Drosophila melanogaster: one gene and its partner. The protein of the gene in region 1 interacts with the protein of each later gene in a pairwise test. Each region holds a gene or a part of one and is shown on either strand. Other genes may lie near its edges.

Region 1 (2,874 bases):
AGTTTATGGACCACAATGGAGCTGCAGCTCACTTAGTATTCTCCGCTCGGATATAAGCTCGGTAAGGACATTCAACGTGGCACAACGACCAGGACTACTACCACACACATAAATTATATGCCTTTATTTGGGCAAAACAGTGTAAAACGCAAATGCAACCTGATGACAACAACAGGCTGCGTTATGCAGCAACAACAGAACCAGAAGAAGCCGGACCCAAAGACGTGGCAACAATGAGACTTTTCGGCAAACAAACGAGGCAAACTAAGAGCGCTTTTCAACTAATGACGACGAGCAGTAACAAAAACGTTTTCAAACTGGGCGGCGGCAACAAGTTGAGCCGTTTAGATTTAGAGCTTGTAAAGTGTGTGCGGAAAATTCAATAACCAAGTGATAACAACCTCAAGAACAGATCCAAGTTAACCCGCTGGAAGACCAGGAAAATCCACACAACCACTCGAGCTGAAGGATATCGGCAGGGTAAATGCACAAATGCATATGCATACATAGATGTATGTGTATGCGTATGTAGGCAGGCCGGAGAGATGACAACAAAAGCCAGCTTAATGGCAATAATAACAGATTTTAGCCAACCACAAAGAAAACGTCAACAGAGGCATACTTTTTGGCCACCATGCTGGCAGCAGCAGCAGCAGCAGTTCGGTTAATGGCAGGAAGTTCACTTCACAGCCAGGACGACACATCCTTGCAGCAGTCACTTTGAATGAAAATTCATTAAGTGAAAATGCCTAAGCCAGCAGATGAAACAGAAAGGAGCAGCAGTCCATCCTCTTAATAGCCGAAAAAAAAGACCGCATCGTTGGACAAGCAACCACATCCATCAGCCGGCCGATTGGCTCAATTTGCATGCAATTAAAAATAAATTGAGGCACCTTGTTCTGCGGCTAAACTAAATAGTGGCACCGCATTCGGTGGAGCCCACTTCCAATTTTCAGTACCAAACTGGTGCGGGGGTGGGGGGGAACGCGACCACCGCAGTATGGGGCCAAAAAAATTGATTTCAACTTCGGTTGCCGCCGCGTATTTATAGGCTGAATTGTCATTTTCTCCTCTTTTCTGGTTGCTGCATTTTTTTTATTATTTACTTCAACCCAATCCTGAATGCTAACAAAGAGTTCTCGAAAGGAGAGCGTAAAACAAACAAATCACGGACCGATATGCACACATAAAAATTCATAAATATTCTATTTTGAGTTGACATTTTGACAAGTGAATATGAATATTGCAGTCGCAGCGCACAAATTTATAATTGATATGTATAAATAATGGACAAAGCCATTTTGTAAATGGGTTTAATGAAATGAACGAGTGTAGCTCTTGTAATAGCTCGCCAATTACAAACAAAGCAAAACAAACAATAGTCGAAAAAGAAGAGTGGACTTTCTGGTGCCCTGGGCGCAAATATTTTTCAAAACATTTAATTTATTGTATTTGAAAAGTTGTAACGATTTTTCAAAAATATCCTCCTAAAATGGCAAGCAATTTACTTTCATTTTTTTAAGCAATAGACTTTAATAAACGTTTGATGAAAAAAAAAAATCATCAAGTTCACCCATTTAATATACCCCTTAAATCTCAATTTACAGGTGCCATCGCTTAAATAAAATATACTTAATATTTCACATTTGGCGTTAAAAGCAAAAGTACCCAAAAGCCAGTTAGCTGCAATTACAATTAAATTAAATTGGTTTATGGTAAGCAACTTTAATTATGTTCGATAGCAAAACAAACCAAGTCAAATTTGCTTTACACTTCGGATCGCATGGCACAAAATAACACCGAAAATCATGATTTAGGGTGAAAAAAATTTAAATTTAAATCGAAAGTTGTTTTCCCAGCCCTTAAAGCCCAGATGGACAGCGCCGATGAGCAGCTGCAGCTGGATCTGGACAGGATATCGATGGAGAGTCGCCAGGCCAGCAGTTTCGATGACCTCATCGAGCTGACCAACAACTCGGAGCGTCTGATGGCCAGAGTCAATTCCAGCTTGGATGACCTAAACACCGCCCTCGACAACCTGGAGGCTCGAACGGACCGGGTTCTGGTCGAGATTCGGAGGCTAATCAGCTCGGAAATGCCGGCACAAGGTCCGCACGATGGATGTGGCGATCCAGATGCCAGGGCGTAGGCGGGCGAATGGCTGTGATACGTAATGTGATAATAAATAAATGTATTTTATTTTCATATCGAAATCAATTGATGCTCAACTGCTCATAGGAATTGAAAAGTGATTGGTCGTAGCTCTTCTTCGGTTTCGAATCGAATGGGGATCGAAAACTTCGCGGGGGCATTGAGGCCATAGAGGCAGAAGATCCATAAAACGCCCGACAGTTTGTTTGTTTTTTATGAGAACTGTAACCCTAGCACACAAATAATTAGTGAGCTATTTTTATGGATCTTCGGATGCGGGGCTGCGCATGCGCAATGCGCATTGAGCAGAAGTATCAAGGTGCTGGGGGTCTTCATCCACAATCTTAATTAGAATTTACATACATTTTCAATATGCGTGTGTGTGTGTGTGTGTGTGTGTTTTGTATTTGTGCACATGTTGCACTGCATTTGAAGATCTCGTCGTGCACTTAATCACTTGAGCCGTCGGCACCATATGGGGTCCTTTCTTTTACTTCTTGTTGTCTGTGCCCCGCGGCATCTGGTGCATGGTATATGTAGTAGACTGAGCGGTATAACCTGTTAATCAGATATGCAGATTGACCCAAAAATTATGCCACAAAGCAGCTGCTGGGCGACAGCGTTTAATTGACAATTAATAAAACTTTTAATTTGAGCCCAATTGGCACATTGCACATTATGGTAATGGTAATGGTAGTGGGGTAGCATGGTAGTTGGTCAATT
Region 2 (5,158 bases), 3.1 Mb from region 1:
GATGTATTGGATTGTAGTTGATATTGTATGCTCACATATATAAGTGTATATAGAGGCTTTGGCGATGCGTTGGCCAGCGTATGTAAGTGCCGATGACGTGATGATCAGCGATAGATTCCACGTCAGCGCGGCAGTACGGTACACTTGCACTCTTTTTTTTTTATAAAAACTTATGACGTTTGGCAGAGTATGGACATACCGATGGCGTGGTGATCAGCGATAGATTCCACGTCAGCGCAGCAGTACGGTACACTTGCACTTTTTTTATAAAAATTATGACGTTTGGCAGAGTATGGACATACCGATGGCGTGATGATCAGCGATAGATTCCACGTCAGCGCGGCAGTACGGTACACTTGCACTTTTTTATAAAAATTATGACGTTTGGCAGAGTATGGACATACCGATGGCGTGATGATCAGCGATAGATTCCACGTCAGCGCGGCAGTACGGTACACTTGCACTTTTTTATAAAAATTATGACGTTCGGCAGAGTATGGACATACCGATGGCGTGATGATCAGCGATAGATTCCACGTCAGTGCGGCAGTACGGTACACTTGCACTTTTTTAAAAAAATTATGACGTTCGGCAGAGTATGGACATACCGATGGCGTGATGATCAGCGATAGATTCCACGTCAGCGCGGCAGTACGGTACACTTGCACTTTTTTTTTGTATATTTATTTATTTTACATTTTTCCTCTCTCTTTTTTTTTCCTGTGTTTGAATATATGTTTGAGTTTCATTTGGTACTTCACAACTTCAATTTTGTTTTATAAAAATTTGTTCCTAGTCACTTTCAGTCGACATCTTGCATATAGTTTGTTTCGTTTCTTACATGTTTACTTACAGGTAGGTAATTATTAATAGGTAGGACATCCTACCGGCTGCGCCAGTTAAGTCCGTGATCGAGGGTGGAGCCTTTTGTGAAGATATGATGTGTAAATGTATGAAGGTTTTTAAGTTTCAGCAGATAGTTGTAGTGTGAAGATTTCCAATAAAGAATACGACTGACTTTCTTGAAGTTCAAAATCAGTATGAAGTTTATTGTCAGAGAGTGGCTACTCGAGTCCTCCGTTTTCGTCTTATACATAAGTACATAGGTTCTTAATTGTAAGCATAATGAACATGCCGACTCGGCATGTGGCTGGCTAGCTGGGGACAATGTTGCAGTGCGACTTTTGTGTAATGTCAGCATTCGGCCGGAATGTCAGCATTCGGCCGGATGCGGTGTTCCAGTTGCCGTCTTCCCGGTTGAGTGTCCGATGATTTGTTTAGAGGCGTGGGGGTTTAGGGGGTGGGGTGGTAACTCGCGCTCTCTTTTCTCCACATTTGGGGCCAAAGCTGACGATCCGCATATCAGCTCTACATATATATTTTGTTGTCTTTTATTTATTTTTTCTTTTTGCCTTCGCCCGTGTTGTTGCTTGTTTATATTTATATATCGGATGGGGCTAATATTTTTTCCAATTTTTTACTGCTTTGTTTGTTGCTGTAATGCGGAACGCGCGCGCTCGAGCAAAAATGATAAATCTACGATTATGGGCGTCATGGGGTGTCATGAATGGAGCGGCCCCCCCGAAACACGCGCAAGAGTTACCTATCAGAGATATAGATATGCTCGGTACCTGTTTAATGTCCACGACTGCCTAAAGCAATTTCCGGTTGGAAATACGCCCAGAATAAATGGGTTCAATAGTGCCAATGAACCGAAGATAATAATAATACCCAGAACTTAAGCTCATTTCGTTGCACTGTTTCTCACTGACTTGAAGTAATCGTAGTTAGGCAAATACAAAGTCTTCAGAGTGAGTAAAAAAAATAAATAAACAAACAGCTGTCGATTGTGGATCACAGCTTGAGCTTGATTCACTTTAGCTGAGCCATCGCTTCTTTTAGTACGCCGTAAAAACCAGCTGCAAAAGTGGCCCAGAAAAATCTCCCTACTTTTCTCTTCTTTCAAATCGCAGACAAAGCTCTATGATTACTTTGTGCTTATTTCAAGAATATTTCACACGATTTGACCGAACTCTTAATGGCTGATGTAAAACCAAAACATATTTACGTAAAGGAAGGAAGTACTTTTTTATCTTAGTTCTTGGAATTCGACAGCACAGAAACAAATAAAGGGCTAACACATCAACATGTTAAAGTTTTGTTTTCTTTAAGTTACACTTTGTTTCCCTTGCGAAAATTGAGTGCGTCTGGCAATATATGTAAACATTGAAAGTCCCTGAAGCCCAAAACATTATTCGAACTTTATGCTTTATATTTCCCGCGAGTATTTGAGGTATATAATAAAACAGTCGCAGAGAGCATTTATTTTTTTTTTAATTTTAATAGTAAGCCGTATTTAAATCTGGTTAACATAAGTTTGTTTCGTAATTTGTAAATTACTTTAAGTACGAGCTTTAAAGGTCACAGTTAGTGAGCTTAAGAAATCAATATTGCGCATACGCCATGTGGCCCGCCGAAATGCAGATGCAAGCGCAGCACAAGGAAGCCCAAATGCCAAAGGACACGCCATGAGTCATGTGATAAGGCCCACGGATCCTGACCTAAATTCGTCCTTCAGAAGGTGAGGCACGAAGCTTGAAAAAATCTCGCCTATACGGGGAAAGGAAATTCAGGGGGGATGCAAAAAAAAAAATACAGAGAACAGGAGGACAACCTCTCTAGTTGGCAGGAGAGCTTTCAGCATCGGAAGTCGGCTGTCAAGTGCAATTTTGTGTTTTTTTTTTTTTTTTTGGCTTTGTATTATTATTTAGCACCGCACGTGTGGCACACAAATGCTGATGCTAATGCCGGGAGATTTATGGCAAACCTTTTCGCGAGACCTGCCGACTTACCCAGACGCTGCGGGAATGATGTTGATGTCGTGTTTCTTCCGCTCTAGATACCCTTAATTTAATGCACCCTCATTGGGAATAATGAACATTATCTTTTCTTCTTATTTTCTGTATTTTTTCGTATTTGTTTTCACACGCTTTTAATCTATTCTAGGTAAGGGAACGTGTGTGTGCAAATTCGCAGACGCCAATGGCAACACGCGCGCCAAACAAAACTTTCGCTTTCGTTGCGCGTGTGGCCGTCACACCACTACACACAGCTACACTCACTCACACGCACACACACACACACACACACAGTGGCACACACGCGCGCTGGCAAACAACAAACACGGATATGCGAATACTCGAGTGCGACTGCAAAATACGTAAACGCTCGTGTTCAGCGCGAAATACAAAGCTCTCGTAGCTTTTCCAGTTTTTTGACCAAACTGCGAGACGAACACCTCGACCGCCCAAAGCAGAATGAACGCGGTCCGACGAACGAGCGTCGTTTTAATAGTAGCTCAGCGGGCACTCACTGCGCACCCCACAAAAGTGGCCAAATGTGTTAGGAAATTATTAAAAAAAAAAAAAAAGAAAAATAAATTTATTTTTGGTTAGATCATATTTTTAATCAAACATATTAAATTCTTAAAACCATATTTAACATTAAATTAGTTCTAAGTTCTAAATTTAGCAAATTTAGCCGATAAGCAACGAAATAATAAGTTGACTTTACTCGCAGAGTAATCAACAAATTACTATAGCTGGCCTTATCTACAGAAAACGGTTCAAATCATTTATTTGCACACACTCATGCTCGAGCATCCACCAAAATAAAATTATTTATAGCATCAGTGAAAAACTGTTGACACACATTCGCATTCAAAAGTCGCCAACGCATCTCAATCAATCGAAAAATGTTGCCGCAACATTGTTGCCAGCAACACGCCCCGAAAATGGGGAATCCCAGGGGAGAGCTGCTTTGCGTTTGGTTCGGGTTTGTTTTGGTCGTGCCTTTCTGGTTGCCTAAATCCGGACCCTCGGGCCAGGCCATCACCTCCCACTTCCACCCCCCTCCCCGTCGCAATAGAAGGCAATTTTGTCGCACGTGTCGGAAATTTTGTTACGGCCGATTGCTTTTGCTTCCTCTCCCTCTGCGCGATGGCTGTGAGTTTCAATGAGTTGTGTTTGCGCTGACGGGTTGCTATATATATATACACAGAGTACGGGGGAGATTCTTAAACCATAAAAAATAGATATAAATAATATAAGAAGTGTTGTTTAAAATAATAAAAGATTCATTTATTTTTGTACAATTTTAAAACCCTAAATGAAAGCTCTGTACTAACGTTCGACATTGCGAGGTCTTGCTGTACAATATGCATATATTTTTTCTGCTCGAAGACCCACTGTCTTGACAGATACATTTTCCGAGCGACCTTTCGCGCTGTTTTCGTAATGAAAAGGCAATTCAATGGCCTTTGGCTGTTGCCGGCGCAGCCGCCTGCGACACTAACGGTAAACGGGGAACGATGGCTGACTTCCGGTTTGGCTTTAATCGTCTGCTGCTGTCGTAAATGGCAGCAAAATCCGAGCAGCGAACAATAAAAGAGAAATTAGCATAACACATGAGACAACGACAACGACGCTCGTTGGAGGCCCCCTTGCGGAACCGCTTCCCCCCGATTTTGCCATGTTCTTTATGTGTGATTTTAATGGGCTCGTGGGTGTCTGGGCCATGGTCGCTTTTCTATTTCAATTGCCGACACGTGTACGCCGCGTAAAACAAAAGGAACACGACCATAAAAGCATCACGCACATGTCTGGCCATTTGCATTTTTTCCGCCCTTAAATTTCTGCACCCAAAGTGCCATTTAATTGCCATGAAGTGTAGGGGCGTGGCCACTCTTTTGCGTCAATGCAAAAGTTCCATAAACGTGGTCGTTATTATGTGGGCTGTCCATCCTATCAAGACGCCCGTTAAATAAAAGTGCGTAATCAAATCTAACGAGTATAGCCCGAACAACACGAATAATTCAACTGATTAGAAATAGACGAAAATAAACTGTACCGAAATAGCCTAAACACAACCATCTTGCCGTTGACATATTTATTGTTTTATTTTTAATTGATAATGGCATTTTAAGTGACAAATTTTATTATCTGTCCTTTAGTATTAAAATAATTGTGCCTAATTACTCCAAAAATAGCTATGTCGTGATAAAAATAAACCACAATATTGCTGGCTAAACACTTCAAAAACCGCAGATTGTATTTCAATTCTGCGGTTAATGATCGTGCGGCGAACACATTTGTTTGTC

The links.
Region 2: the proteins of CG13838 (region 1) and Cipc interact in a two-hybrid assay, tested with the Drosophila melanogaster proteins (2 studies listed by BioGRID).

Annotation. Positions count from the first base shown.
Region 1 is NT_033777.3:23,040,460-23,043,333, forward strand, and holds CG13838 (uncharacterized protein), read left to right. Parts: upstream 1-1,781; 5' UTR 1,782-1,873; coding exon 1,874-2,149; 3' UTR 2,150-2,210; downstream 2,211-2,874.
Region 2 is NT_033777.3:26,105,037-26,110,194, reverse strand, and holds the start of Cipc (clock interacting protein circadian), read right to left. Parts: upstream 3,328-5,158; 5' UTR 2,853-3,327; intron 2,611-2,852; 5' UTR 1,318-2,610; intron 1-1,317.